Drosophila melanogaster: one gene and its partners. The protein of the gene in region 1 interacts with the protein of each later gene in a pairwise test. Each region holds a gene or a part of one and is shown in the gene's direction. Other genes may lie near its edges. The genes, in order: Su(var)205, Odj, cav and moi.

Evidence for each region.
Region 2: the proteins of Su(var)205 (region 1) and Odj interact in a two-hybrid assay, tested with the Drosophila melanogaster proteins (3 studies listed by BioGRID).
Region 3: the proteins of Su(var)205 (region 1) and cav interact in binary tests that used the Drosophila melanogaster proteins (3 or more experiments, as listed by UniProt).
Region 4: the proteins of Su(var)205 (region 1) and moi interact in binary tests that used the Drosophila melanogaster proteins (3 or more experiments, as listed by UniProt).

Annotation. Positions count from the first base shown.
Region 1 is NT_033779.5:8,207,826-8,215,542, reverse strand, and holds Su(var)205 (suppressor of variegation 205), read left to right. Parts: upstream 1-4,420; 5' UTR 4,421-4,699; coding exon 4,700-4,813; intron 4,814-4,876; coding exon 4,877-4,993; intron 4,994-5,069; coding exon 5,070-5,190; intron 5,191-5,439; coding exon 5,440-5,708; 3' UTR 5,709-5,917; downstream 5,918-7,717. Other genes in the region: CG8353 (uncharacterized protein), read right to left, coding at 429-871, 1,056-1,125; CG8360 (uncharacterized protein), read right to left, coding at 1,543-1,762, 2,014-2,206, 2,261-2,324; CG8372 (uncharacterized protein), read left to right, coding at 2,834-3,424; Ssb-c31a (single stranded-binding protein c31A), read right to left, coding at 3,709-3,984, 4,041-4,097; CG8419 (uncharacterized protein), read right to left, coding at 6,272-6,889, 6,945-7,093, 7,147-7,705. UniProt on the Drosophila melanogaster protein: Structural component of heterochromatin, involved in gene repression and the modification of position-effect-variegation. Recognizes and binds histone H3 tails methylated at 'Lys-9', leading to epigenetic repression.
Region 2 is NT_033777.3:17,805,450-17,813,434, reverse strand, and holds Odj (oddjob), read left to right. Parts: upstream 1-4,212; 5' UTR 4,213-4,317; coding exon 4,318-4,434; intron 4,435-4,488; coding exon 4,489-5,219; intron 5,220-5,279; coding exon 5,280-5,399; intron 5,400-5,456; coding exon 5,457-5,781; 3' UTR 5,782-6,028; downstream 6,029-7,985. Other genes in the region: Alg1 (ALG1, chitobiosyldiphosphodolichol beta-mannosyltransferase), read left to right, coding at 2,396-2,955, 3,017-3,577, 3,636-3,855; CG17801 (uncharacterized protein), read left to right, coding at 6,366-6,488, 6,546-7,342, 7,413-7,526, 7,587-7,698.
Region 3 is NT_033777.3:24,217,482-24,225,365, forward strand, and holds cav (caravaggio), read left to right. Parts: upstream 1-4,049; 5' UTR 4,050-4,260; coding exon of another isoform or gene 4,261-4,272; 5' UTR 4,273-4,426; coding exon 4,427-4,444; exon of another isoform or gene 4,445-4,484; intron 4,485-4,760; exon of another isoform or gene 4,761-4,861; coding exon 4,862-4,993; intron 4,994-5,054; coding exon 5,055-5,942; 3' UTR 5,943-6,047; downstream 6,048-7,884. Other genes in the region: twin, read right to left, coding at 2,119-2,294, 2,484-2,670, 2,734-2,862, 3,051-3,082, 3,347-3,366; CG17786 (uncharacterized protein), read right to left, coding at 1-978; Spps (Sp1-like factor for pairing sensitive-silencing), read right to left, coding at 6,268-7,884. UniProt on the Drosophila melanogaster protein: Part of the HipHop-HOAP complex that recruits the MTV complex to form the terminin telomere-capping complex, which binds to chromosome ends in a sequence-independent manner and prevents telomere fusion.
Region 4 is NT_033777.3:18,251,531-18,259,819, forward strand, and holds moi (modigliani), read left to right. Parts: upstream 1-3,999; 5' UTR 4,000-4,085; coding exon 4,086-4,282; intron 4,283-4,341; coding exon 4,342-4,681; coding exon of another isoform or gene 4,682-6,078; 3' UTR 6,079-6,147; downstream 6,148-8,289. Other genes in the region: CG12320 (uncharacterized protein), read right to left, coding at 30-1,169; Polr2D (RNA polymerase II subunit D), read right to left, coding at 1,508-1,682, 1,745-1,925, 3,787-3,850; Ada2a (transcriptional adaptor 2a), read right to left, coding at 2,024-2,786, 2,845-3,706, 3,787-3,850; Tgs1 (trimethylguanosine synthase 1), read left to right, coding at 4,678-6,078. UniProt on the Drosophila melanogaster protein: Part of the MTV complex that associates with the HipHop-HOAP complex to form the terminin telomere-capping complex involved in telomere maintenance and prevention of telomere fusion. Potentially functions downstream of mei-41/ATR.

The DNA of each region.
Region 1 (7,717 bases):
CTTTCTTATTTTCGCTACTATACAAATGGCGAAATTTAATCTCACAATAATTTGGTGTTTATGAATCAGAAGTTGAGTGCATTTATCACGTCATCACAAATCGGGGCATTCCCTGCATTGCGCTTAACGTCAGCAGTTGTCAATCCAAATTCGATATCTTTAATTTATAACCTTAATTTTGATATATAATCAAAAGCGATTAAACACCTTTTCCTAGAATCTTTCACTGTGTCAATCTTTCCAGCATTTATATCCCCATTTCCTATTCATTGATCGAAAAAAAAACATTAAACACTGCTAAGTAGTGTAATTTTCTTTATTGCAAGTGATTAGATCAAAATTATATTGATTAGAGGCAGCAAGGGGTTGAGAAACAACCTTTACCTAGCTACCTTCTGCCTATTTTCGGTTCTTGCCTGCAGTGGTCGTTACTTTCGATAGGTGTGAAAACTGCTCGGCAACAGATTAAAGATTGAGGTGCACATGACGGGATCGTCACTCTGCAAAAGTTCCTGCTTTTCAGCAATCCTCGCATCGATCGCCTGGGCCACATATATGGGTATATCCGCGTTGGCAAACTCGCGTATAAACTGACGACAAACGCCGCAAGGAGTGGTGAATACATTAGGTTCGTAGGCCAAAACAGCACCTGCCAAAAATTCGGTGGCTCCTTCGCTTACGGCCTTAGCAATGGCCGTTCTCTCGGCACAAGAGCCCGGCGTAAAGGCGGCGTTTTCCACATTGCAGCCAGTGAAGATCTTTCCATCGACCTTGGCCCGAAAAGCAGCCCCAACTTTGAAGCCACTATATGGAACGTATGCCCGCTGGCGCACTTGAAAAGCAGCTGTCAGAAGTTCTTGAACCGACGGATCTGGAAGTCGAAACAATGCACGCCACGCTCAAGAATTAAACTTAGATCTTGTCAATGAGTGTAAGGAGTATTAATTTATAACATTATTATTTTTAATATCATAAGAACCACTTTGAATAATTGACAGTCGTAGATATTTAAGGATTGTTCTCAGATTGTTCTCAATCTCGAGAAGGAATCTTACCCAGACTGCCGAAGGTCACAACCTCCTCATTCTTTTCTGGACGTGCGAAATTTTTTGTCAGATGTGTCATTATAGTTCAATTCTTTTGGTCAATAGAGGCACGCCTATTTTCTTAAATTTTGAATTATTTTTAGCAAGTTGAGTGCGTGTGTTTCTCCTTTGAACGTCCGATGGCAAATGGACGGTTTGTGGTGACGGCGGCGCCCGAAGTTGGCTATGCTGATAGCACTCTCCGCCGTGTAGTGGTGACAGAAATAAACATTTGGCCAATTCGGAGCGCGAGAGAGAACCAGGTATCAGGCTGATAAGCAACGATCGCGATCGCGGAGAGCAGTGAAAAACACAAACAGATGCCGTATCTCGTATAAGCTATTCAATCAACAAATAACGAGGGGTGGGTTTACAGAACATTATAAATGGGATGTCACATAAACTATTGCACATGGATTGCACCCTGTCCGGCTGGGCTGGGCTGGGATATTCTTTTCTATTTTCCGTTGGCGAAGCTAAAGCCGTTGGGCAGCAGTTGGAGAACGCTGGTGCAGAGCACCCTCAATGGAAGATTGGTCGGCTTGGCGGCGTACAGGGGGATGTCCTTGCCGTTGACGAACTCCGAGAGGAACTGCCGGCAGACGCCACAAGGCGTGGTGAAGCCATTATCCTGCTGGGCCACCACTGCACAAGCCACAAAGTCGCGTTTGCCTTCACTGTAAAAATGTGTTATTTTAGTTATTCGAAAGGACTTGGAGAGGATAATTAAGTATGTAAGAATTTAAGTAATAGTGTTGTCATTACAGATTAACATTCCTCATTGCTGTCAAGGGTTATCTCAATATATTGAAATCTAAGTTTTTAATCCAAGATAAGCTTTACTGTGACTAACGCTTTACTTTCAGTATTTCCTGTGGATAGATCTCAAGCGATGCGTATGTGACCCAGAGAATATTGACCCACTGACCTGATGGCCTTGACGGCTGCAGTGCGCTCTGCACAAATGCAGGTGGCATACGCCCCGTTTTCGATGTTGCAACCGGAGTATATGGTGCCATCGCTGGTCCTCAGGGCGGCTCCTACGGCAAAGTTACTGTACGGACAATAAGCCTGTTTTCTGGCTTCCGTGGCTGCCAGGATGATCTCTTGAATCGAAGGATCTGCAGAAAGGACCACAAATTATAGTGACATGGCAATGTTTCACGACTTCGTACCCAGGCTCTGGAATTCCCGTACATTGAGATCGTCTCTGGCACCATTGATAAACACCTGTGTCATGGCCAAGCGATTGTTAATGAATATTTCACAATAGAAGTAGCAGCTCAGCCAATAAACACAGCACCAGTTCTCACTTCCAACGCAATGGCAACTGCTGCAACAGCTGTTCGCTGCAGGGGCGTACACAGAAGTAAAGTTTATGGGGCTCTAACATTGCTGTTCCACAAATGTAGAAACATATTTCCAAATACATACCTAAATAAAAAAAAGAATTTGTCAACTTTGCGGAGTTGAAAATTTCGTGTGACTACGTTTGTACGTGGTCTCTGGATCCCCCTTTCAGACGCCTCTGCCATACAGCAATGCTTTCCAACACTGTCAATCTCCATGTCAATAAATACTGAGGTAGATGTGAGTGAACTGCGACTGCTTTATTTTCTCCTTATCGTACAATTAAAGCCCAATTGGAATTGTTAGCGACTCGTTTCATGGGCATTACGGCCGGGAAGACCGTGAGTGACTGTTCTTGTGGCTTCCCCGCACAAATATCAACCTAATACAGTGTAATAATGTCGACAAACCCAAGTCCGCAGCGGCAACAGTCCGAGGACGTTCAGATCTCGATGGCCAGTTCCGGAGGAGGAGCCGGCAATGGCGTTCCGGATAGACTGCCTCCGATCAACGTAAAGGACCAACGCTTCCCCTACTGCATCGTTTGGACTCCCATTCCGGTTCTCACCTGGCTGATGCCCATGATCGGACATATGGGCATTTGCACTTCGTCCGGTGTGATTCGTGACTTCGCCGGCCCCTACTTCGTATCAGAGGACAACATGGCCTTTGGAAGACCCACCCGGTACATAAGGTTGCACCCCAAGCACATGGTGGGCGGCAGTTACGCCTGGGACGAGGCGGTCTCCAAAGCATCTGTGCTCTACGGCACCCGCATCCACAATATCTTCTGTGACAACTGCCACTCGCATGTGGCAACGGCACTCATCTACATGCGCTACTACGACAGCACCGCATGGAACATGATTATCCTCAGCATGTGGCTCTTTGTCTGCGGCCGCTACGTCGGAATAGGGGGTTTTATTAAGACCTGGCTGCCGTTTGCCATTCTCCTGTCCATCTTCACCATTCTGGGCATCTATTTTTAATATTCATATCTATATCAAATGCTATCAATGTACAAATCTATGTACATATGACGTCCAATAAAGGATTCATTCATTTATGTATATGTGTGCTTTTTGTAGTCCCACCACAAAGCAGATAAGGAAAATACCTATCAGGCAATTAAGTTGGTCATTCATTAATGCTTCAGCAACTGTGAAAATACAGATTTTCAATTACTAGTGTTTAAGATAACGTTTATTCAGTGGATATGTCTATAGTTAGTACATATGGCTACGACTTAGTTTGGCATGTGGATGAACTTCAATTAATTCTCGATCGCGCGGGTGACTTCTTCGGCCACTTCAAGGAGTTTCTTCCATTGAATTAAAGATAGGGAGATGCCCTTCTTGCCGGGAAGAATTTGGCCGCCCTTATCGTAGAACTCTCGAATGTCCACCGATTTGCGACCGCGGAACTCGTTGATTCGCACCTGGCGAAGTCCTTCCAGGGTCCAAGATGTAGCACCATTTTCGCCCGAATCTTTTGGATCTGAATTTGGAGCATCAGATTCCTTCGCCTTCTTGCTTGCCGGCTTGATACGCTGAAAGAGGTTTTAACTTGTTATACCTAGTTTTGGTGTATTTCTAGTTAACTTACATCATCTGGACCGCTATCGCTATCTGAGGACGAATCCTTCTTCTTTGTTTTGGGCATTTTTATAGAATTTCCGTAAAACAGAAGAAACAAAACGCAAATTGTCAAAAAATTCGTGAATATTCGCGCAACTTATTCAGTGCTGTGAAACGCGTCGATAATAGTTGTGGTACAACGGATTCCTTAATCGATTCATCGATTTATTACAAAATTTTTAAAAACAGATATTGGCGATCAGTTAGTTACGTTATTATTATAGTTATGTTGTAAAATTTAGATAGTTCTTAGTGTTAACATTTTTCTAGACTTAAAATGAAATTAATACGATGTGCAAATCTATCGGAAAATAGATAAGCGTAGTCTTAGCAGTCCACGCGTACTTTCGCACACTGTTCGGCCGGCGTCATTTTAGAACGCGCATTTTTTTGCAGATTTTTCATTTTGTGGAAAGTCTTCTAGCGCCAACACACAGGCTTATAAAAACCAATTTAGCTGCGTGCATAAAGTGTAGATCTTATTTAATCTAGGTGAGCCATGAAAGCAAAGAGAGTCGACTAAAAATCGTACTTTCCTTTCGTACTTTGCGTGTGTGTGCGGTTGTGTGCGGTTGTGCTAATTCTTTCCTTATTTTTTGTCGTGTGAAGTATTTTAATAAAAACAAAATGGGCAAGAAAATCGACAACCCTGAGAGCTCGGCAAAGGTTTCCGATGCCGAAGAGGAGGAGGAGGAGTACGCCGTGGAAAAGATCATCGACAGGCGGGTGCGCAAGGGAAAGGTGAGTTTTCCGAACCAGACGTCCCATTATATTTGGTCCTAAAACGCCATTTTCCACCTGCAGGTGGAGTACTATCTGAAATGGAAGGGCTATCCCGAAACTGAGAACACGTGGGAGCCGGAGAACAATCTCGACTGCCAGGATCTTATCCAGCAGTACGAGGCGAGCCGCAAGGATGAGGTAAGTGAAGTACAATGCGATGCCAAGTACAGTTGTGCTTGCTAGGATTTCCTTTACATCTCGTTTCGGTCCGTAGGAGAAGTCAGCCGCCTCCAAGAAGGATCGACCCAGCAGCAGCGCCAAGGCCAAGGAAACTCAAGGACGCGCCAGCAGTTCGACGTCCACAGCAAGCAAGCGAAAGTCCGAAGAACCAACAGGTAAGCTATGGAATTGAGTGTACCTACAAATATTTTCTGTACACAAATTGGTATAACAATAGTCATCACCTACAATATCCACTGGCATTTATTTGCCCTTTTCGTCAAAACTGTATTCACATATGTATCTCAAATTTTGTCCTTCGCAAGAATGGCATGCGCAAGAAAAAGATGGTCTTTGCAATAAAAAAATGCATCTATTAAAAAATTGCACTGTATTAATTACTTGTTTTTATTTTATTTATTTAGCGCCCTCTGGCAATAAATCAAAACGTACCACAGATGCGGAGCAGGACACCATTCCCGTTTCAGGATCTACCGGATTCGATCGCGGCCTGGAGGCCGAAAAGATCTTGGGTGCCTCCGACAATAATGGCCGCCTGACATTCCTCATTCAGTTCAAAGGCGTGGACCAAGCAGAAATGGTGCCCTCCTCAGTGGCCAATGAAAAAATCCCACGAATGGTAATCCACTTCTACGAAGAGCGCCTATCCTGGTACTCTGATAATGAAGATTAAACAGTTGGATCATCGAAAGCGAAAAAGAACGATTATACATTTAACGAAAAATTACCCACTTAGAATTATAGCTCCTTGCAGGCGCTTTCAAAACCACCCAACCAACTCTTAAGGCATCGGACTTTTTTCCATAAATGTCCAGAGTCAGTGTCTGTATTTATGATAACCATTTTCAATAAATAAAAAAAACCTTTATTCTGCTGGAGCCTATATAAGTAACTTTTATTTGCGACTTGTTGCTCAACGGTCAGGATATGACGCGCATATGCTGACCATATGGTAATAAGGAGAATTCAATTGGTAATTCCAGAGGTCGAAAGGGATTTTGTAGCCTTAGCAATCTGAGATTATTGTGTGCACATTGTAAATGGACTGTCGGGTCTGTTGGAATGCATGTATTTTGCAGGTAGAAAAACGTTTATTTTGAAGTATCCTTGTTGTCTATCTGCGCGTGCGTATAAACTACAAGATCTTTGAAATTTCACAAGATGAACAAACAAAATGGCGAAACCTGGCTATATGTTAATTTATTCGTTTTATAGCCCTGCATCCTAATCAATTACTTAAGAATTAAGCAGTTTGTTGGCCACATTGCATTCCGAGTTCTCAAGGACATTTCCACAGCAGGACCAATGACGTCTCCCTGGATGTCCAGCATGTCCATGACCGCAGCCACTATATCCAGGCATATGACCCTCACACGAGCACATCACGTTCCGGTTGCCCTTTCCGGAACAGAAGGAGCAGCAGTGGTAGATGCCCGTATGCGGACGAACCTGTCGCGCTTGAAAAGTGAAAGGACCTCCCTTGATGGGCCGGTCGTTAATGGTGATCGTGAGAATCAACGTGCCCTGGGCATCCGGGGTGAAGGATATGTTGTAGGTGCCATCACGATTGTCCGACACCTCAACGGGTAGAAACTTGGAACTGGAGTCCTTGTACTTCAGCATGCAGTTGATCTCCAGGCCACCGTGGCAGAGGGAAACCCCGTCGGCATCTCTAGAGTGAAGCAGAAGATCCGCTTTTTTGTGGAGGCGCAGCTGTGAAAATCCCTCCCACTCAAGGGTGCATAGACTAGGCTCCACTACCTGCATGGTGATGATGCCATATAGAGGGATATCGCGCTGGTCCTTTGTCGACGGAGCACGGATTTTTGGTAGGAAGTGAAGCGAGTCGGATATCTGGGTAAAATGGTTTACTTTATAAAACAATAAAACAAGCAATTTGGTAACCTACCTTGGGATCCACAGGCGGCTTAAATTGCTGACAGTACTCCAAACGCCTTAGAAGTATAGTCACATAACTCAGAATCTCTACATCAGCACCAATCTCGCACAGCTCTTGGCTAAATCTAACCGCATCCATGGCCTGCTGAGTGCGTTTCTCTACAGGACTACGTCAGATAACTAGAGCTTTAACCAAATGAAATATGTCTTACCCAAATCAAGTTGCTGCTTGAGCACTACCTCCACTTTGGACTCCCTAGCTCTGCTGATTTGCTGGAGCAGAGTCTTGCGATGGACTGTCAGGGCATCCATGTACTGCTGCATGTACCGCTCCACTTGAGTCTGGATGTCGTCACACCGGTCGTTGATTCCACGTGCTATGGCATTCAACCTCTCAATGGAGTGCTCCGCATATTGACAGAGGGGACGAGTTTGATCCGTAGCTTCTTTGAGTAGTTTACCCTGATGTCCAATTGCCCGGGATATGGTCTCATGTCGATGGCCTTTATGAAGGATCACCAAACAGTCGGTGCATGCCAGTTGACGGCAGTTGGTGCAAAATGCCTTCAGCTCAAAGTTGGTATGGATTCCGCATCGTAGCACTAGTTTGCTACTATCTCCCAATCCCATCTGCTGTTGCTTTTGCTTCCTGGCGCGTCTAAGTTCCAGGATGCTTCTCATTCGATGGCTAGCGGTGCTCCTTTGCCTTTCGTGTGCCTCCTTGCACAAGGTGCAGAGGTTTAAAGTGCAGCTAATGCAGTGGTAGGTGGCCTGGAAAAGATT
Region 2 (7,985 bases), on another chromosome or scaffold:
CTGCTGAAGCAAAAGCAGAAAATGTCGCAGACAGCAAACACGCACAGAAATAAAGACAAATGCAACTAAAATGAAAGCAGGTTTATACGATTAGATTTGGCATGGTACATGGAAATAGATATGTTGTGAAATGTGAGCAAAAATGGATTGTTTCTTAGAATTACCAACATTCCTTGATTTCAGTCATTCCAACAATTATTCTAGCTGGTAATAAACTTACCATAAAGGTAAAGGTGAATTAGTAGTATTATGCAAAAAGTGCGCTTATCGATGTTAAAAGATGTATATGTATAACATATATTATTGATATAGATATTATTGATTATAATATAATATTATATTGATATTATTGATAATAAACAATAAAAGTATTATTGTTAAATTTTCTCATAAGACCAAACAGATTATTGAGTACAATCAGTCCATTTATCGTTACAAATAATAGCTTTAGGGCAAATATATGAATTATCCTGAGATATGATTTTTGCAATATTGCCACCGCATAAACCTGGTTAAGAAAAATGTCCTTTTCATTCCGTGTCTAGACCGAGGATAAGTTTTCTATGCCAAATGCTGCCATACGGAAAGAGAATGAAAAAGAGCGCAAAAGGGCAACGGCAGAGCGAAAACTTCTGCAGCGCCATAAAAAGTCGGACTGAAATCAAAAATCAAGAGTGGAAACTTGCGGGCCAACCCCAGGAAAATACAGCCACCCACCAAAAACCACCCAACCATCCGAGCAGCAGTGCAACCACCACCCCGCGTTCACCGCCCACCGTTTGGGGGTGGCCCGCTGGCTTGGCTATCTGCCTTCTGCGAAGGACGTAGGACGCAGGAGCAGAAGGACGATGCGCGGAGCGTATCGCGTCTGGATCAGAAATTGCAGACGAGCATAATGGGATAAACTACGTGGAGCACACTCACAGCTGGGTTCAGAATAATACAATATCTATATCATGCGGAAAATCATATTCAAAAGCAATAAATCTGGATCGGCATATTTGTTTGATAGCTATAAGTCAAATAAGTAAATTTCTATAATTGTTTACTTCCTTAATGGGAAATTCTTAATATTAAAAGTAGCTGTTAAGATTATCATACTTCAGTCTTTGTGATCTTTAAGAGCAATTACATACAATAATAGTATCTTTGACATTCCTTTGACATTTGCAAATAATATCTTTAAGGATATTTGATGGCCTTAAAGGTTATAGTATCCTCTTTATTGCTTATTCATACGCGTATAAAAATCTGTAAACGATATTAATATTTCTACCGCATCTGTACACCTAGTTATAATCTCAGACAGCCGGGTGACAAATTTGACGATGGCACTAGAGAGGAAAAATACTACGCGCATAAAAATGCATAAATGGAGAACAAAGCCAGCAGGAGCTCGGGAAATTGTAGTATGTGGTGTACGAAATTTGCATTTCCACTTCATCGAAATTCGATGGCTCGAAATACCCCCACACACAGACACAGATACACACACACGCGGACAACGATAGAGCCACCCACACATTGACATCCAGACAGGCGCCAACTGGAGGGTGGAAAGCCGGCTTGTTGTGCCGGCGAAAATGCGTAAAATAACGGCAGTTGGAGTGCTTTTCCTGATTTTACTCACCGGCAATTCTCCCGTTTAAGCAGTCATAAACTTTGTTTCAATTATTTGTTTTTCATCACCAACTAGTATATTTAATAATATTTCCTCTACCTGAGCATTAGTTGCTGCGAAAATTGTAGCACAGCTTTGTGGGTAAACACTCACACACACCGACGCACTGTCGCGCACACACACACACTGAGCTTGAAGTCCCGCTAGAAAAGTGCCGCACTCACGAGCCGCGACGTTACGTCCATACGAATCCGAATTTGAATGGAGAATTCAGTTTGAGCGGTGTGGTGTGACCAGTCACGTTTACTGCAATTAAGATCATACATACGCAAAGCAGGTACGGTCACTCGGCAACTGTTAAGTTATTTCCCTGTTAACCGCACTCATTTTATTTTACAGTACTGTTAAGAAATGTAAATGCAATGTTAGAGAAAAAATGTAGCTTAAAATTATGCTATTTTATCACTTCATACTTTGAAATCTAAACAGTATATATATTCGCTCATATAAATCTAAGAATTCTGATTACTCATCTTAAAAAATTAAATGAAATAGAATAGATGGATAAAATGATAAAATACCCAAATTTTTAAAACAGGTAGTAAATAAATGTTGAAATGAACCACCCTAACATAGCGCCATAATAGCAGAGTTCCGAGGCATTTTGCAGCGGCTGAGTACGGTCCCACTATTCCACAGGATTCAACCGAATCACAAACAAAACGCGCAATTCCCTTTGATCGCAGATAAAGCGCTTATTTTTCTTGCCCAGCGATGGCGGAAGTGCTGCCCAAGAAGCGCAACGCCTGCGTCATCGTGCTGGGCGACATTGGACGCAGTCCGCGCATGCAGTACCATGCCCAGAGTCTTCTCGAGGAGAACTACCACGTGGACATGATTGGGTATCTGGAGACGAGGCCGCTGGAGGAACTGACTCAACATCCACGTTGCCGAATCCACGAGCTAACTGCCGTCCCAGTGACGAACCTAACACCCAAACTGCGCCTGCTCTTCAAGGCCTTTTGGCAGACGCTCAGTCTGCTGATGGCTCTCATCTCCATTGGCCGTCCCAGCTTCCTACTCGTCCAGAATCCGCCCGGCATTCCCACGCTGATTGTGTGCTATCTGTACTGTGCGGTCACACGAACCAAGCTGGCCATCGATTGGCACAACTACACGTACACAGTGCTGGCATTGGGAATGTCGAAGGGAGAGCAGAGTCCTCTAATACGATTGGTTAGGCGACTGGAGCGATACTTCGGCTCCAAGGCACACACACACTTCTGTGTGACGCGGGCCATGCAAGAGGATCTGCAGCAAAACTGGGGCATTGGGTAAGTCCTCATCACATCCATCTAAACGAAGTAAATAACTCAGCCGCGACTCATCTTTCAGGCCTGTCAAAGTTCTGTATGATCGTGCGCCCGCGCAATTCCATCCCATCGACTTGACTCACAAGCACGAGCTGTACCTGAAGCTGGCCAAAGACTACCCACAGTTCCAGGCCAAGGACGCCGAACAATCCGATGTTCTGGAGGCCACCGCTCTTACCCAAAAGCTGGCCAGCGGTGTTGTGCAGTACAGACCACAGCGACAAGCCGTGCTGGTTTCCAGCACCAGTTGGACGCCGGACGAGGACTTCGGTATACTGCTTAAGGCTTTGCAAGCTTACGAGGAGACTGCGCAAGCAGAGCCGTTGGTTTATCCTTCCCTGCTGTGTATCATCACCGGAAAGGGGCCACAAAAGGAGCACTATGTGGCGGAGATCGAGAAGCTGCAATGGCAGAAGGTGTCGGTGATCACGCCCTGGCTAGAGATCGAGGACTACCCCACTGTTCTGGCCAGCGCCGACCTGGGCGTGTGTCTGCACTGGAGCACCAGTGGGCTCGACCTGCCCATGAAGGTGGTCGACATGTTCGGCAGCGGGCTGCCTGTCTGCGCCTACGATTTCAAGTGGTAACTAATCCTGCCATTTACTATTATTACTTACTAACTTCTACAAATGGCTCTTTAGCCTGGATGAGCTGGTGAAGCACGGCGAGAATGGCTTCGTGTTTGGCGACCATGTTCAGCTGGCCGAGCAGCTGAGGATTTGGTTCGAAAATTTTCCAAAGAATCCCAGCATCCTGGAGACAAGAGCTGGTTTTCAGCGCAAAATCCAGGAGTTCCAGGAGCTGCGATGGCGGGAGAGTTGGCGCCTGATCGCGGCCCCCGTACTGGAGGCATTTCTATAGAGCATTTTGACAAAGATTTGACAATTACACGTTATGAGAGACTTCCTTTGATTGCTAATCGCTTTTTCTAGGCTAGTTACTACAAATTCTGTACACAAAAGAGCTTCAAACTTGCTTATGATGCTTATTTTATTTTTATAATCGTAGCCTAAAGATAAAAATAAATTGCTAAAAAAAGGAGATATATACAACTATTTATTCGCTTGTAAAGCGTGTTTTCTTAGGAGTATTATGTATTTCAATTAAAAAAGAAAATTCACGGGATGCAGTGCCGATTTTTTTTTATTTGAACACCAATATCGATAGTCTGAAATAAACATCGATATATCGGAAAATTTTAAAAACATCAATGTTTGACACCTCTAGTTGCGGACAACGGTCACACTTCAAAACCAAACCGGCTGCGCAAAAATTACTATAATTTGTAATTAAAATTAATCAATTTTATTTAGTTTCGAAAGAATGAGCACCGAGTGTCGGATCTGCGGCGAGCGCATCTTCACGCCGCACCCAAAGAACATCTTCGAGAAGCGCAATCATCGCATTCGGATGGCCATCGAGCAAATCACGGGCTTAGAGGTGGCGTCCCTTTTATTTGTTGTCCGGAATTATTCATAATCTATGCATTTCCAGATCGTTTTAGAGAATATGCTGCCCCAGCACATATGCGCTTGTTGTCTCCTGGACCTGACCCAAGCCGTAGCCTTCAGGCAGCGATGCCTGGAGACGCACGCAAATCTCCACCAGAGGATCTCCTCGAAGGCGGGTGTCGCCTCAAAAGGCTCCCCGGAGGTTTCGCCAGTGCTTAGTGATCCGCTGCTGAAACGGGAGGTGCTGGATGATACAGTAGACACCGAGGACGATAAGGAGCTACTGGACGATGATAAGGATTTAATGGATGATGATAAGGATTTCTTGGAGGACGAAAAGCCGATTTTAAGATATCCTCCGGCCAAAAAAATCCGGATCGAGGACCAAAATTTCCCGAACAGACAGTCCCCACGAGTCAGGGTCAAGCGGCTTCGTGTGCCTGTGGTCGAGAAGGCAGATAGTCCACCGCCACCTCCGCGGGAGCACGTCCGAAAGCCCAGAAAGCGGCGACCAAAACCCAAGGTCGATCGCTCGATAAAGCGATACGTGTGCGACCAGTGCGGTTGGTCGTTCAACGATCACAGCAACATGAAGGATCACAAGCTGCGGCACTTCGAGGAGAAGTTTTCATGCGACGAGTGCGGTCGCAAGTTCTACACCATGCCACTGCTCCGATTGCACATTCGAGTCCATCACAAGGGCGAGAAACCGTACGTCTGCAAGTTCTGCGGTATGGGATTCGCCAATAGTCCCAGCCGCTGTCGTCATGAACGGTGAGTGCTGGCCTAATCATCACAAGTCCTTATCTATATAAACCATAAAAACCTTGACAGTCAAATGCATGCCAACGAGCTGGTGCACCCGTGCAAAATATGCGGCAAACGATTCAACAGCGAGAAGGGACGGCTGAAGCACGAGGAGGGGCACAAGAGTGACCAACCGGATGTCCATATGTAAGAATCATTGAAATATACGTAGCCATAGATGTACAAACTCATATTCTTTCACAGCTGCCTCACATGCAACAAGGAGTTCAAGGAGGCGCAGTTTTTGCATCGGCACTACTCCACAAAGTATCACCGCAAGCGGGTCAACTTGCTGGTTAATGGTCCAAAAGAGGAATTCCAGTCTGAAGTCGATCCGGCGGAGTTTCCGGGATATATGGAAGAGGGGCAGGCAGAAATGGAGGACAACCAGGCTGAACTGGACGTAATGTTAGATAACATTGACGAGGAACAATATGAGGACCACGAGGTACTTCAGGATGAGGACGCAAATTTTGAGGACTTCGAGTACGAGGAAGCCATTCCCGATGGAGAGGAGCTGTACACCTAACTTTAAGCACACAAAAAAAATCGACTGTTGGCGCCACACACTCCACACTCCACACGCCACAATGCCAGGGATGCAAACTATCTGACTTTTTCGGTGGTTCAGAGAAATCCTTTGAATCACCAGCCAGCCGTACGATTAGCACCAGTGTGGAAGGAATTCAACGTCGGTCTTAGATTACAATTTGTTATAAAATATATTTTATTCTAATTGCACAGCGCGCTTATTTTAATAAAAATTATATGGAACCAATTTCAAAAACGTCAGGAATTAGCCGAACGTGTGTTTTAGCTTGAACCTCTCTTTTTGGGAAAATTTAACCTCCCGTTTATAATATATAAATTTTAAATTATAAAAACTAGCTCGATGTTCCCTGGTTTCTAGGAAATAAGAACAGTTAGTTTTTCCACACCTATCTGGTAACGCCATGAAACAGGTAATTCATACAAATTTTGCTGCTTAGAGAGAGTAAACAGAAATTCTCGGATTGCGTACGCTCTTTTACCGTTTTTATTCCATAATTGACAACATAAAATCAATTAAACTACAGCTGATTGTTTTGGGAATTCAGCGGGATAAATGATCATATGTTTGAAATGAAAAAGCCTTCGCAATGCCATTTGTGCGCCTCGTGTTTCTGTCACCTGAATCCCACGATAATTTTTTGCCTGGAAGTTCTGGCCAAGATCAAGGATCTCACTGGAATATGGGTATGTTGATGGTTTCTTGTGTGCGTGAATGGCATAACCCATTTACTCCATTTACAGTTAGAACAGAATGAACGCCAGCCGCGTCATATTTGCCCATCTTGTTTAAATGACTTGAACACATCGATTAAGTTAAAGAAGCGCATTCAACGAGTTCACAATGAAGCAACGCTGAGGCGGGAATCTGGGCTTGATGAGGATCTAGAAAGCACTGTATCCGATATAGAGCCAGAAGGGGATTCCAGTGACTTGGAATCGGAGGAATCATATGATTCAGAAAACTATCCATTTGACAAAAAAGCAGAGGAATCCGATATTGATTTAAATCTCGCCCATGAGGATAGGAGAAACGAACCACATAATCCTTATGATTCGGAAACCCCCTTAATATTTAAGCATAAAAATCCATTAATTGAGACTCCTTCATTTGCAAATGAAAACTTGCCTAACAAAGTCGATGCAAAAAGCCCAAAAAAGGGAAACTTTATACAAATTGGAACCGATCTGAGACTACTTACAACGTATCCCTCTATTAAGGTAGTAAAGCCCCTTGCATTAGCTCCAGAAGATGTGGCAGCTGAGAATGTACCCCCTGCAAAAAGGACAGCTCGGAAAATGCAATCCCTGGTGTGCCCTAAGTGCGGAAGGGTCTTTAAGACTCCATACAACCTAAAGACGCATATGGTGCGCCACACGGGTGAGAAGAACTTTCCATGCACGTTCTGCGACAAGCGGTTCGTCACCAAGTATCTGGCTCGTCTACACGAACGAGTGCGCCACATGGGCGAACAGCCGTTTGAGTGCAACTTCTGCTCGGCAACGTTTTTCACAAGTACAGCTAAGTCGAGCCATGAGCGGTAAGTCCTTACTGCAATTGTATTTAACTTTAAAAGCGCTGACATAAACAATTTCCTAACACTATGACAGAATACGGCACATCAGAGATCTGAGGTACCAATGCGACCAGTGCACCAAGAGATTCAATACCAAGACCTGCTTGAATAAGCACAAGTTCCTGCACTCAGGTCTTAAGCCCTTTGAGTAAGTGAAATGATATGAAATTTGCGCATATTTAATACAAGTCGTGTATTTCCCTCTCAGCTGCGTTATTTGCCAAATCAACTTTGCCCGAAAGGCAACGCTAAGGAGTCACTTCGATTCGGTTGCTCACCAGAAAAGAGCCAGCGCCATCCTGGAATCCGAAGAGCATTGATTCGCCAAAGAATTAGAGATCGTTTTTAATTCCGTCTTATAAGATGCGGGATATGTAGATGAAAGCACGACTTGGATAATTCTGAGGCTCAGGATATCTATTAGACATAAATGTTTGAACGTATTCTCACTGTTTTGGCACTGGATTGCCCTTCGTTTGCTATAACTTTTTTGTATTACATTTTTGTCATTTGCTTTTCCTATTATGAAGTAGTTTCTTTAAGAGTGTAATATTTGGACAGCCATTCATTTCGAAATGTTAAATACCTTACTATTTAATTAATCGTT
Region 3 (7,884 bases), on another chromosome or scaffold:
GGATGACGTTGAGGAGGAGGACTCTCGGCTTCCGCCTCCTGGCTCGCTGGAAGAGGCATCGGAAAGCGATCGCCGGAGCGGGTAATCCCAAAGCGAACGAAGTGGGTCACATTCTCGGCAGAAGCAGACTCCGTGCGTATGATCATGCTGCAATATTCCAGATGGTAGATGGTAAGATGCTCCCGCATTCGCGGTGTAACCGTCTAGCGGATTGGACATCTTCGGTTGCATATCCGCCTCAATTTTGAGCAAAACCCCATTGCCCGGTTTTCGATCCTTCTTTCGTCGCTTCCTGGGTTTAATGATCCTCGGCAGACAGGTCTCCGCTGGCGAGGTGGCCTGATCCTGGCCAGCAGCATTGTTAGGCGTCTTCTCTTGGCTACTGAGCACCGGTGGTGCCGAATTCTGATAGCGAAGGGCTCGAGATTTGTCAGCCAACTTGAAAGCAGGCTGACTGCTCATCGGCTGGTAGCCACTCCAGTTGTTGGTCACAGGATGATGGTGATGTAGTGGCTGGTGGTGCTGCATCTGCTGTTGCTGGAGATGGTGCTTGCCATTCTGCTGGAGCAGCGGCATGCCCTGGGCATGCACAGCCAGCTGGGACATAGTGGCCCCTCCAGGTGGCCAAGTTGGACATGTTTTAAGGGCGGATTTCCTCAGCAATCTCTGTCGCTGGGCTGGCGACAAGTGACTGGAGGCATTCGAGATGAGCGGTATGCCGGCGCACTCATTGATCCGCTGCTGATTAACCACTCCATAGCCAACTGGTTGAGGTGGTTGGCCAGCCGACTGAGCTGCCCAATTGGGCGGTGGTGCAGACGGCGGACCATGATGCAACCTGTACACAGGAGCTGGATGCTGGCTACCCGGCCAATGGCTCAACGGATGCTGGTGGTATCGCAAGGACGCGTAGTTGGGCGGCGGTGGTGGTGGTGCTGCTGATTCTGGCGCCCTGTAAACGGCCACATGCGATCTCATACTGTTTTTGTCTTAGTCCCAAACTGAATCCTGTCGGCGGATCGAGTCGATTGCACATCACTTGGCCGCTTGGTTAGATTATTCGACTTGAGCGAGCCACCTTTCAGAGAGGCATTTCGGTTGGCCAACAGTCGAGCGATTCCACCGCAACGAAATGAAAAGCGAACGCCAAGAAACTGGGACACAACGCGATCGCAATTACGAAACACACGGCGCATGCGCGACGCTCGCGAACGGGTTTCCAGCTGAAGAGAGACTGAGGAGCAGAGTGGAGCTAGTGCGTCCGCCTCGTAGCCAAGCGAGCGGCAGACTGAAGTCAGCTGCTAACGCGATCGACAGCGAAGCCCGGCTAACAGTAAAAGCCGTTAAGACAAGTCTCTCTCTCTCTCTTTCTCTTTCTCTCTCTGTCTCTTACGTTCCACATTGGGTCCACACGAACACTCTGACGCTCAGCCACCGGCTCTCTTTTTTGGGCCAACTTGCATCGGAGAGCAGCATCTCTTGGCTTTTGCATGTCGAGGTCGTGCAGTTCTTTTGGCCAAGTCCGCCAATTGTTGTAATTGTTGCATTCAATTAGACATTTTTAATTGATGCGCGGGCATTATGTTTTTTGGCATTAATGGGCAGCCGTGAGTTTGAACTTTAATTATGGCTTTGGCAACAGGTTTTATGACCTATCCTGGTGCGGAAAAACATTAGCTAACAAACTGCGTTTGAAAATGGACGAATAAATATATATTTCTGCTGTTACAACCCTACTATATATAAATACATCGAAATCGTTTTTGATCCCCAAAAACAAAATTTTCCAACATGCCCTAAACTTCCTAATAAATATATATTTTGAGCAGTTACATAAAGAATTTTTGCTGATAACACATGGAAAGATTATCTCCTACTTTAAGCTTCCTTTTTTTTATCAATAAAATCCCATCAAGCCCAGTAAGATAGTTAAAATACCCTTGAGTCCGTAGTTTCTTCGAAAACTTTCTCTTTTCGGAAGCCTTTTTTCGCGTGCTTTCCTTTTTACCCCAAACATGCACACACGCAGCCAGACACACACCTGGTCAGGAGCTGCTCACGCACCGGGCGCGCGCACACACATACTCAGGGATTTAGATAGACATGGGGGGGACTCACATGACAAGTTGTCCAGCATGTAGGTGAGCAGTTTCTGCGTGCCGTTCGGTTCGTTGTAGATGTTCATGAACTCCTTTTGCAGCGGATTGCCCATGAGGCCGAGTATGACGAGGTGGAACAGCTTGCCGATCTCGTAAGGCAGTACGCGCAGAAAGTTGTTGTTCAGCAACAGCTCCCTAAAAGGAGGCAAGACAATGGAGTGGCTTAGTGAAAAGCATGGATCAGTGATCAATAGGGTCTGCGCCCAGACAGCGATTTCACAATAGATCAACTGCTAAGGGTGCAATAGAGTATGAGACATAATAATAGGACTAAAATACGATTTAACAACGTAAATCATGTCCTATGCCAACCCACAAACTCACCGCAACTGGATGAGCTCGCCGAGCTCTGCGGGAAGACTTCTTAGCTTATTGCTGGACAGGTCCAAAGTTCGGAGGCTGGTCAGCATGCCAACGTCTGCGGGCAATCGCAGCAGCTGGTTGTCGTTCAGGTAGAGGGCGGTTAGATGCTCAAATTCCCACAGCGACGGGCTGATATTGCGGACGCAGCCTGTAAACAGATGTATGGTAGAATTAATATGATATTTTTCGGGATTAAGTGTGTGATACCCACCAGTAATCTCTAGGCCACTCCAGTTCGTCTTCTTGCCCGCAGCTATGTCCTCCTGCGACAGAAAGATCTGCTGCCGCCGATTGGCGCTGTCGTATTTGTCTTTGTTACGAGACATTTTATAATGATTGCCTGTTCGGTATATATAGAAGAGAGTTATATTAATATATGTATAAGGTAAGAGATAACAAGTTAAAATCTGGAATTGTTTCAAGGAAGTTAGGGCTCATGTTAGGAGACAAAACCTCGCTTAGCAACAAAAATGAATGCTTTGAGTTTTAGCTTAAATGTATCTAGGAGTATTGGAATCAAATCATAACCTTTCATAATAACCGCCTGATGATAAGCGTCTCTGCAAAATATTAATAAAGTGGTTTCCATTATTATTTTGTATTAGTAAACAAAGGTGGGTCTGAGGTCCGGGTTTGGTTTACATATACAGCTAAGGTAAAACTAATAGCAGTTCTTAAACATTATTAATTAAAATTTAAGTACAAGGTAAAAGGTCGATATGGAAAATACCGCCAAACTCAATAGTTGGAGGATTTTAGGAAAAATCTTTATATTTTATTAATAAATAGCATTGGATATGTATTTTGGAACGTTGTCTATGCACCTTTTTTTAAAGATACACATATTAGGCTTTAAAGAACTGCTATTGGCTTTCGCACAGCTGCGGATGGTAAATTGTAAATCATAAATAAATGCAAACGAAAATGATTTTGGTAAGCGCGCGCAAAGTGCAAGCACCAACACACACGCACACACACGGACGCGTAGCACACACAGAAACACTATACAGTTAGAAAGAAGAATGGCGTGGGCGGGCAAAACAAGAAGAAGAAGGAAAGCCGTATGTCGCATATTGAAAATCGTGGGTATCAGGAACCTGTGTAGGATTACCTGGCTCAGTTCACTATTCCTAGGAAGTCACCTCAATCGGAAATTCTGGCTCAAATTTACTCGCCGTCTCTCCTCGTTTCGCGCGCTCTTTTCGCTCTCCGCCTGCACTTACTCGAGGATTTTGAAAGAAAAAGGAAGCCGCAGCTGGGGATTCAGCAATATTCGATATTCACTGTGAAATTTAACCGACTTCTACCGTTTTTGGTGCCTTTATTTGGGTCCTATATTTGTTATTTTATTATTTTGCTGCTTTTCGTTCGTGTTTGTCGGAACAGAAGCGACGATTCTGCTAATCAACCTATTCGTTTTGGATCGCTCTTTCTTCTGCTGGGCCTCTGCTTTTCATTTATTTATCACGCGACTCGCTTTCATCGTCGGTTCTTGTTTTTGTATACATGGTGAGCAGTCGGAGTTGCCACTCGGTTTTATCAGCGGACGGTATCACGGCAAGATTTGTCCAAAATGCGTGCTTATTCGTCCAACTGAAGTCCGGCCTAGTGTTCTGATAAAGTGTGAGACAACGTTTGTTTGTAAAAAGAACTACTCAAATGGGATTTCAGTCAAAACAAAACAAGAGCACATCACACACAAGACGCACACATACACACAAGACGCACACGCACACAGATGGTCAAAGAGGTGCAGGGCTGAAAATAAAAACACGTAGATATTTCGTACTGTTTGCTTTACTAGCCACTTTTTTCGGTCAATGCTTTTTGCTGAGGACTCGGCTTTCGACGCGATATATTTTATGTAGTTTAGATCTCTGGATGGACGATTTATTTGTGAATTTATGCTGCTGCTACTATGTGTAAACTTTCGTTCTTCGCTTTCCTTCGTTTTCCATTTCTCTTTTGTGCGCTGGTTTGGCGTACGCGGAAATGCCCACTTGCTGTTAATCGGCTATCGGAAAGAATTTGCAAGCAGGGGCTCCAACTAGCGTATTGAGAAAGTAGCTATATTTTGTATGACAGTTAAGACCCCTGTTTTTTGAATTGATATTTTTTATAGGATTGAAATCAGGAGCTTTGAATTATTAATTTGTAAAATAAAATGAGTTTATTTTGACAGCAAACGAAAATACTTAGCTAGAATCGAGCTAAACCATTAAAATCTGTAAATACTGACTAATCGATAACCTTACAGAGTTTCGATAGATCCATTAGCCGCGAATGCCCTTAAAAAGTTGTAATTTATTTAATTTAATGTTGCGTGTTTTTAAAAAAAGGTTAATATGTCGGGGACGCAAATGTCTGCCTTCCTGAGAAAGTATCTAGCCGACGAGGACAAAAAAATTCGTGCGCAATTCAAAGAAAGCGATCCTAACAACAAATTGATTCTATGGATGCACGAAAAAACGGTAAGACGCATTTCATTTTGTAAATTGAAATTGTATATTGTATAGTATCCTGTATTTGAAGAGAATAACCGAGGAGGACTTGGCACGCCCATACACCGAGGACGAGGTAAAGGAGCTTTGTCTACGCACCAAAGTGAAGGTTGATATGACCGCTTGGAATTGTCTGTGGGAAGCCAAAAAGAGGTTTGAAGCAAAAGGACGTTTTGTGAACAAGTCTGAGAGATTCATCAACCGAATGTATATGAAAGCGGTGCGCAGAAAGATGGTCCAACCGTATCCGGAGGAGTTTGTGGCCCAGCGAAGAGAAATAGTTGCAGCCGAGACTAAGAAGCAGAACATCAGCCGATTGGATAGATGGCAAAAGAAAAAGAGTCAAAACCTATCAGCACCAGAATCCTCTCCAGACGCTCATGCATCTTCTAATGACGCGGTGCAGAGCCACGAGGACCAAGCAAACACAAATCTTAGTTCACTGTCTCAAATGAACTTTCAAGTGGAAGCGATGGCTCCGCCAGGCGTGTCGTCATCTGATCTTAGCGGCATCGGAGACGATGAGGACGAACAGCAGCAGTCAGGATTTCAGGATGAGAACATCAACCGTCCAGAGACAGAGATTAATGAGAATTCGGTGAGATGTGATCCAATTAATTTAGGAAGGATGCGGACTGGATGTATAAATTCGCAAGCAAATAACAGTTTCCGGAATACGGAGTCTGATCCGGACTACTATATGTTTGGCACCCAATTGAGCACATTAGTACGACCCACGTCGACTCAAGAGCCTGACGATCAGGTAAACTGTCCAGAGACAGAGATGAATGAGAGCTGGGTAAGGTGTGATCAAATTAATTCGGAAAGCTTGTCGATTGGACCGTCAATTGATTCGGAAGGAACTATCACTTTTCAAAATACAGAATCTGAGCCGATCGACGTCACCTCAATAGCCTGATGTCCATATATTAAACTATATAAAGTTCTTCATTTATTGGTGTTAATTAATTAAAAACATGTAATCCCTAAAAATGTTATAAAATGTATAATAAAAATCTTAATTAAAATACGATGGTCGATTAAGCTATGTACACTAATCTAGGATGATCCGCAACCGGAGCTGTACAAGAAGGGTAAACATTTAAAATGCTCGCTTTTACATAATTACGCTATGTACAATTTATATATTGCTAAACCATGGTCCCATGGGGCGCGGCAGGGGGCGGTGGGTGCTACGGGAAGTGGTCAAACAAGAACTGTTCCATGAACAGCGACTCCGAATGCTAGTTGGACGAATTGTCGCCAGGCTCACTGACCGCAATTGTCATCTTCACTTCATCGCCACTGTCTAGTTCTGGATCCTCGTCATCCTCCTCATCCTCGCAATCATCCATATCGTCCTCGTCGAGCTCCTCGTCTTCGTCGTCCTCTTCGGTCAATTCATCATCCTCCTCGTCGTCCTCATCATCGCCGAAACTATCACCCCCGCCGCTGGCCTCCACAGTCGGCAGCTGAACGATCGTGGCCCCGCCCGGCGTCACAGTTGAGCCTGCAACCGTGGCCGCCACACTGGAGGCTCCACTGCCCGCCGCCGCTGAACCGCCGCCCGGAATCTCAATCGTCACAATGCCGTTCACCGTGCTAATGCTTTTCGGTGCATTGCCACCCTTGGTCTCCTGCTTGATGCTCAGCTCAATTAGCTCCACGCCAGAGCGGCTCTTAAAGTGCGTCTTGATGTGCTTCGACAGGTGATCGCTGCGCATGAACTTTTTGTTGCACTCCTGGCACTGGAAACGCTTCTCTCCCGTGTGCGTTCGTCGGTGGCGCTGCAGTTCATCGGAGCGGGTGAAGCGCTTGCCGCAAAACGCCCAGGAGCAGACAAATGGTCGCTCGCCAGTATGCCAACGCAGGTGAGCCCTTAGATGGGAAGTTTTCCCGTATACCTTATGGCAGCCGGTTATATGGCATATATGCTGGCGCTTCTTGTCCGAGTGTTTTTCGCCATCTGTACAATTGGGACAGGTGCAGGCTACTCGCTTTAAGCGTGGTTTGGGCTCTCCAGTCGCTGTTCCACCGCCGCCGCCAGTTGCAGCACCTCCGACGCTGGCCACACTTATGTTCATATTGAGATGGCTTTGTGACGGCGTTGTTATAGTCGTCGTGCTGGTGTTCGTGCTCCTTATGCTGGCAGTTGCTCCCCTAGCCTGCGTCGTGACGGACACCACTTGGCCACCAGTCGGCGCAATTGTAATCTGGGTGCTTGACGTGGTCACAGCGTTGACCTTACTTCTTGCAGGTAACGATACGGGAATTGGTTGGGTTGTGGCTGGGGTATTCGGTGTATTCGTCGCTTGCTGTGGCAGGGCTGTGATCTGAATGGAGGCTGGTATGCTCAGGCTGGACAGGGAATTGCTTTCCGTATGCAGGAACTTGATCTGCTGCTGTTGCGGTGAGGCTGTGTTTGGAGTAGAGGCAGGTGCCGGAGGATTACCAGTTGCGGAAATGGGTCCAAAGGTATCCGGCGGCTCTTGCTTGATGCTGGTGATCATTTGCGTTGGACTCTGCGGCTCCTGCTTGGGCATCACCTGAACTTGGCCCTGAGTTTGCACTTGAGGATGCGACATGGGTAGTTGGGTTAGTACTTGCTGGAAGTTGGCTGGCAGATTAGGAGGCAGCTGATTGGCGTGAATGATTTGCACTTGACCCAGGCCTGGGATGTTCTGGATGGGTAAAGCCTGAAGATTGGGCATCTGCATTGGTGTGGGCACACCAGCTGGAGCAGGAGTGGGTGCGGTAGGCGCATTTGGGCGTAGTTGGGCGGGAATCACGGTCAGCTGTTGGCCCTGGGCATTGGTAATGGTGATGGGCTGATTGGGCGGCAGTTGTCCCCCCGCCGAGGC
Region 4 (8,289 bases), on another chromosome or scaffold:
TTACACTTCACATGCGTAGCGCCCTTCTCCTAGGCTTCCGGAAGTTCGATGACTACAGGCTGGTCCTCGGGATCCTCGTCTAGCAGGCCCTCGAATTCCCATCCCAATTTTTTCTCCAGCCGCTTAGTTAGCCGCTCAGCGCTGACACTTAAGCCGCCCGCATGCAGATTGACCAGCAGTTCGCGTACATCTTTGTAGACGGTGTTATGCGGACCAGGCACCATCAGCTCCTCGGGCAGATGGGGCAGCTGGTGGGCCAAAACCTCGCTGTATTTCATGTACGTTAACTTGTGCTTGGTGACCGCCGTTTGCGAGTGAGCCAGCAAGCCCAAAAGCTTGCGCCAGTGGGCCAGAGACTCCACAGAGTAGCCCACTAGGAAAAATGCGTAAGCCAGCTGCAGTTCCTCAATGAGTCCATCGGCCGTTTCAAAGCCTTCGAGCAGTTTGTCAACAGCATCGATGCAGTCCAAGGCATGGCGGGAAACATCAGCGGGCAGGGCATCTTGTGGAACACGCAGGGGTACGGTAGTGAAGCGCGGAGCTGTTCCTTCCACGGGCTTAAGGTCCGGTAGGAGTTCGCTCTCATCTAAGAGAATCCGAGCTGCAGCATTCCGGCGGCTTATGCTGACAGTAGCGGCTCCACCTCGCGGCCGATCTGCGTCCGGGCAGGATTGCAGTTCGATGTTCGTACGGATGGTTCCTTCTGTCGGACGGCAGCGATCCACGCAAGACTCCGTCACGCTGCCGGTGAGTTCCTTCCACTGGACCACGTAACGATAGTCGTACGGCGCCAGCACGCGCTCCAGTTGGGCTAGGTTTTTGCGTATTCGGTCTCGCTCCACTTCCGGTTCGGCAATCCTCCGCGGGCGCAATTCCTCCAGTTCGTGGTCCCACTCTCGTACGACAATCTCATTCGGATGGAAGAAGTGCACGAATCCAACACGAGGGGCTGCATCGCCGTAGGGACCACGGGAGGAGCACCATACGTAGTGGACTCCGGGTGGAATCATCTTGACGCCTCGGAAATCCGGACCAATGGTGTAGGCACAAAGATCAATGCCGAATTCCGTGCCCTCGGGTACACCGGCGATGACCAGCACTCCGCCATCAGCCAGGAGGCGTAGGGCTAGCTGCGGATCCATTTTCATGCTGGAGTTGTCCTTGTTCATTGTGAAATATTGTTCGCTTGCAATTATTAGGAAAAAGAAAACAATTGCAAGTGCGGGCCTTTCAGCAAGTTGCCAGATGTGACGGCTATTTCGATAAGTTCTTTCATGTGAGCAGTCTGGCAACACTAGACAAACAATTCTTTCAAGCGGCAAATTCAATTTATATATACTTTTTTTTAAGTAAATCTTTTGTTTGATATAATTACATTGTATTTAGACTTTGTTGATTTTTGTTACAGTGTATATTCTGCATTTACTTAAAATTCTTGCTGTTCTTCACTTTATTGTGTAAGTGGACCATGACTTTATATCTAAACTATATTTATACGTAGTAGTAATTAGTATTGTAAGCTGCGTTTAGTGCCGATATCGTCGAGTATTTGGCGCAGCTCCTCATCCTCGAAGCGACCCTCTAGTGAAGGAATCAGCGCCTTGGCCTCCTCGGGCGCCTCCGGACACAAATTACCCAGTGCCGCCAGTTCGAATTTGTGCAGCTTTTTCTGCATCAGCAAGCTGAATTTGAAATAATTGAATATTACTACTCGTACGTGCTTTGTTCGGTTTTGCTACATTACCTTCGCGCAGACATTATGGTCTCCTTGTTTTTGAACTTTCGAAAACTATCCGTGTAGGCGTACGTCTTCATGAAGACCTCGGAGAACTCTTGCTCCTCGTCGGCGGATTCGTTTTGTCGCTTTCGGTGATCGAGAAGCATGTGCACCTCCGATATCAGCAGCGTCTCGGCATTTTCGAACTCTGAAACAAAGAGAAACGAAAGGGTTTTTTTTTCTTGAATTAGTTACTTGACGACATTCAGGAAATTTACAAGTGAAACATTGGAGAAAAAATTAGCCCTAGCCATAGGACGGTGGTCTGCTGATATGGCCATGTTCCAGCAGAAAATCGTAGATCTGACGCGTTTTGTTCACGTCAATTTTGATGAGACGTCGCGCATCGGCCAGTCGTAGATATCCGAGCTTTGCTTGCTCCGTAACGAGTTGATTCTTGTAGTCCAAATACGACTGCGGAACCAGACGAGCCACACTGCACAACTTTCGCTCGCCATCATCCAGTTTGGAGTAACCAGGCAGATCTGGGATCAAAGAAAAATTATATTCAGTTGGTGTCAGGCAATGAGTAAAGTGTTTCCCACCTCCAATCTCAATGGGACTGGCCTTTCGACGCGTGTTCATCACATATAACTTTGAGTTAATGGCCAGGGGACCAGGATCACCGCTCCTGTTGCTCTCGTAATGCTGCACCAATTGCTGCCAGTCGAAAGCATCTGTTTGCTTCAGCCTGCTGTAATCTCGCTGAGCCTGCTGACGTTCTTTGCTCAAGCGGGCATATAATTTGGCTCCGGAAAGAGTTCGAACGCCGTGCTCCCGCAGATCGTATAGCTTGTGCAGCTGGCTATGCAGCTCCCGATAATAACGCAGAGACTCCAACAGCATATCGAACTTAATGGGGTCAGGACAGATCTGCATGAAGCCCAAGAAACGCATGCAACTCGCATCGCTGCCAAAGGCGTGCACGTACTTGGAAATCCAGCTGACGGTGCGATTGGGCATTATGAGACCGTGTTGCCTCATTATCTTGTAACGACGCTGGCGCTCTCTGTGAGTAAATATGCATATTAGATTTTTTTTAGTAGCTTTCTGTTATAAGATCATACCTGAGGCGATTGTTGTATGCCCGAACTAGTCCGAGTTGCAATTCCTCTGTCACTTCGCGCTCAAACTCACTCTCAGACGCCTCGTTGTCGTCATCCCTGCCCCTATGATCCACCATAATAGATAGCAGACTCTCTGCTGAGGTGTCGTACGGAGTATCGAAGTCTCCTCTTGCACAGCGGTAACCTGCGCTTAGTCTGAACTGCATGGAGGCGATGTCGTCATGACGTGGTGGATCCAAGCTGCGCATTTTGAAGACATACGGCATTCGCTCGGGCACATAGCTGTCCCTCGCATGCTTCAGATTAAGGAGCCGCTCGAATATCCCGCCAAAGTAGCAATCGTGGTAGTGACGACGCACTTCTGCGGGTTCGTGGCGCTGGTCCAGAGCCTGGGAGACCGCCTCCCAGTTGCCATAGCCGTGGGTGCGAAGTGTTTTCAGCAGTATGCGCTCGTCCCGTGCCGTCCAGTGTGGCTCATCGGCGAAAACCTGTATGTTGTCGCGGACTATGATGTAAGCGTGGTTATTGCGGTGAGAAAAGGCCTCCTTTCCACGTGAGAAACATTGCAGGCAGAGCAGGGTGTCGAGGCACTCGGAGCACTTAATGTACGGCTCTGTGAGACTGCAGCGACATGTGGCACACCGATTGGCATCCTTTGTAGCCGATGGAACACTGCTATTCTGGTCCCGCGTCTTTTCCTCCATCTCCTCCAAGTACCTGTGCAACGTGTGCGGATTATACAAAACCATGGAGTTCCTGGTGTGTTCATTCTGATGTGCATGGATGAACCGCTTAACCTGTGGCCCCAGTGGCTCAACTGCAAAGAGGCAATTCAGTGTGGTAAAAATGTGGAGGAGTGCCACTTTTGGGGCACTCGAAGCCAAAGGTTTCAGCCAGTTTCACTTGTAAGTTGCATTTCGGTTGGTGTAGGGCGTTGGTTACCTTTGGGAAACTGCAGGTCGGCGGCGTCCTCATCCACCATATCCACGGGGTTCATAAAAGACATAGTGAGCTAAGAACTGCTCAGTTTGTTAAAGTTTATATTAAGAAATTCTAATTTGCACAATAAAATGTCGCTGTTTTTAGTGATGAGAAAGGCAGGGCTATAACTGGCGAAGAAGCTATCGATAGGTGGGTCGCATCGTGCGTAGATACGTTGGTCACACTAGCAAGCATGTTGAGTTTATCATTCCGGGTGTTTTGATTTTGTTCGGAATTCTTGGTTTTTTTCCAAGAGAGTTATGTCCCTGGTGCCAGAAGCCTCTACCTCGAGAGCGCCCAAGTACTGCTACTTCTTCAAGACCCTGCTGGTGGAGGAACTGGAGCTGGAAACTTCCTACCACAACCTGCACTACGGTCAGTGCGCATTAATTGGACGTCTGGCGTTCAAGGCGAATCAGTACCGCCTAGAAAACGTGCGCGTTAAGTGTTTGCCAAAGTAAGTTTTTCTATATTACCTATCCATCCGGTCCTTACCAATGATGCTGCATCTTTCAGGAAGTACTCCTTGGGCGAGGGCACCGTATCCTTGCTTATTCTTGGCCTTACCCATGACAAAGTCGTCGAAAATCGCGTGAGTACCGGCCGCTACTGCATTGTGCGTGGTGAAGTGGTGCTACATAATGTGCAGCATCCCAAAGGTGCCAAACTGACCGCCGGCGGTGTCTACGACAAGATCAATAGTCTGTCCAACGATCCGTTGGCCCAAAAACAGTATCTCAGCGCGCTACTTGCCACCTACAGACCGGCCATCGACTTATGGTACATCCAGGTCATCGACAGAGCCGAGGACTTGCTGACTCGCAGGCTGGAGATGAGAAGTCTGATCGAGAAATGAACACACACCACCTGACCACCTCGCGAACCAATCCGCAGTTCTATATATTCAGTCAGCTCTTTGGTAACGATTTCGACTGGAATAATTGCAATTGGGGGGGCATTCAAAACGTTACCTGGAAAGAATTCTGGCAGCGTGAGGGGCATGAGCTGCTCGAGCAAAAGTGGCACAAGCGGTTTCCCGAATACAAAGATCTTATCGAGGTGGTTTCGTCGGAGGAGCAAGGCCTTTGGCAGGAACTGTGGGAGAAGCACGCCAGCGATTACAGTGAAAAGTTCTGGTATATATTTAGCTGTGCCTTTGAGAACTACCAACACGATTTGGCCAAATCATTTGGCCTTGACGTCGCTGAAAACTCAGAAGATGTTGAGGAGGACTTGCAGAACCTAAGCCTTACAAATAAGCCAATAAAATCGAAACAGCAAAGGGTCACAGAGAAAGAGGAGGACGAATCATACTTGACTGCCAACGACGATCCCGAGGATTGTGACGAGGAACAACAGCTGCGCCTTCTCGGATTGCCAACATCATTTGCGTCGAAGGCAGATATAATTAATTATAGAAAGGAAAGAAAGACACAGTACGAACTATCTAGCAGCGATAGCGAGGACGATCATGATCTGTTGACCATGGAGAACAACGAAAACGAGGCTCTGCACGGCGTTCAGAGCGGTTCTGTTAAAAAGAAAAAACGACGGCAAAGGCAAATAAAAAAACTCAAGGCCAGGATGCCAGAGTGCATGCAAGAGGATAACAACAAAATGGTCAAGTACTGGGTCAAGCGATTCTCGCTGTTCTCCCGCTTCGATCAGGGCATTCGGCTGGACCGCGAGAGCTGGTTCTCGGTGACACCCGAGAAGATTGCCAAACAAACGGCCCGACGACTGGCCTGCGACGTGATCGTAGATGCTTTCTGTGGATGCGGCGGCAATGCCATTCAGTTTGCAAACACCTGTGGACGCGTAATTGCTGTGGACATCGATGCCGAGAAGTTGGCCATGGCCAAGCATAATGCCGGCATTTATGGTGTGGCCCATAAGATCGAGTTTATCCACGCCGATTTTCTGCAGTTTGCGGCCAGCACAAAGCTGCGCCCAAATGTGGTTTTCCTGAGCCCTCCGTGGGGTGGTCCTGACTACCAAAAGCAGGCCACCTTTGATATCGAAACAGGTCTCCTGCCCGTGGGTGCTAGCCAACTGATGCAGCTGTCCCGTAGCCTGGCATCTGACGTAGCTTTCTTTCTGCCACGCAACGCCAATATGAAGCAGGTGGTCGCTCTAAGTGGAGTTGGGCAGCAGTGCGAGGTGGAGCACAACTATCTGGACACCCGAATGGTTGCGCTCACTGCTTATTATGGTAAAGGAATCATAAAGGGTTCAGTGGGAGAAGATGAGTAGGATTCGATTGAGAGTAATTTTAATAACATCATTGTTTTTATATAAATAAATATATTTAATTTCATACATATGTATAGTTGAATGGATTTAAAAAAAAAAACGGGCTCATAATTTCATGGCATTTTTTGCTTATTATTAGATATAAATCATATTCAAAACGAGCCAATAACATAATATGAAAATAAATCTATGAAAGGCATTTTAACTAATATGTAATACAAATGATTTGGTAAGTATCTTTAATTAAACTCGAAGCATATAAGCACACAGAGTTCACAAATTCCTGTAATTATGGATCAAAGGAAAATGTTGGCTATGGTCAACAACTTTTTTGTTCATTGTTTATCGCCTTAAGTTTTTCCCTCTTTTTGCCACATAGAAAGATAGGAGAAAAGTTGACTAATGAATAAAGCCGCCTCACATGTAACGCAAGAGTAAAATCTTTTCACCCATCCCTTCAGTGCAGTGATTGTTGCCAAGTGACCGGCGATGCCAAAGAGTCCAAGCTCTTTAGCCAATTTAGATGGCTTAACAAAGCTCAACTGGCCAATGGTCAATGGTCATAACCATAACGTTCCGCAATCCCTTCTTGCAACTGGCATTGGACTTTTAATTAAAACGCAAAAGGAAACAAAGCGTGCGTCAATTTTTAAGAACTTTGTGCCACAAGTTGTGACTTGGCCCAAAAGCCATGGAACACAGGCAGCCAGCCGCATCCTGCTGAACCTGGCAACGTCGGTTCGGGGGCAATTAACATGCTCGTCTCGCGGCGCAGGCAGCAGTTCCTTCGGCATTCCACAGCAGACGGCAGACGATGAGCCGGAACCAGAAGCAACAACCCTTTTCATGGCTTACAGCTTACTTAGCTCTTTCGGATGGGGTGCGTTCGCTTGAAGGGGCTTGTGGTGTGGCCAGTGGGCGGTGGGCGGGGCATGTGCGGAATTTATAGCTGCCAACTGGCAACAGAGATATTTACCCCTTCCTCCATTATCCCCCAACCCCGCGCCCCAACCAGTTGCGGCAAGTGGCTGCTCCTTTCCACTGCAATTAGTTTGATTAACTTATTAGTGTGCGTCGGAGCAGCTCGAGCGAAATTTGGAGCATTCTTTCCGGCGCTGATTTGTGGGCTGCCTTGCGAACGACGGATTTTAGTGGGAAGTTGGTTGGAAAATGGCAATATTTTGACAAGAGTAAGGCGAATATTCTGAATATTATAGTTTTTAATTGTATACAAAGTTAAATTTAAGTTAAATGTAAAGTTTAATGTTGTGGGCTTTAATAGATTTACATATGATACGTAAAATTTGGCGTATGAGTTCAGGCCAGAACTTATAGTTGATATCAGTGATATAGTTGTACATAGTATATAGTATATAGTTGTAGTATAAATATATAGAGTTGATATAGTTAATGATATCAGAAATGATGTTAAAAAAGTTTTTGTTTAGATACGTTAAAAAATAAATATAAACCAATTTGCTCTATAAGACATTTTACTAAAAGTAATGAGCATCCTTTTATGCCTTTCCTAATACATATATATTTCAGAAAGAATTATGCAACTATTTGTTACCTTTTTATACCCGTTACACGTAGAGTAAAATGGTATACTATATTCGTTGAAAACTATGTAACAGGCAGAAGGAAGCGTTTCCGACTCCGTAAAGTTGATATATTCTAGATCAGGATCATTAGCCCAGTGGATATGGCCAAATCCGTATGTCTTTCCGGCTGTCCATATGAACGCCGAGCTCTTGGAATCTATAAAAGCAAGAAAATTAAGATTGAGTAGGAGAAGATGGCCACGCCCATTAAACCACGCTAGATGCGGGGCTTCGAAAAGAGTTTCGTCTTTTTGGTCGATCTCCCTCAAACTGCCACTTGCTGAGTTTATGGTATAATAATATAATAATGACATAATGACAAAAAAAAGGAATAATAAAAAAGGAATACGTTGCCATAAGTACTATAATACACCATTTCTAATGCAAATTGCAAAGTAAGCTCGTTGCCGGTGATTAAAACTGACTTTTATTGTTCGGATTGTTATTAAAATACCGTGCAATTGGCCGTCACGCGTCAACTTTGTCATTATCAGCTACTTAAATCTAAGCCCCCTTCCGGATCCGGTTTATCCACTTTGGTTTTTAAGTCAGTAGCGCTGTTATCCTTTATTAGATACATGTAATTGCCGCTTTAATGCGGGGTTGA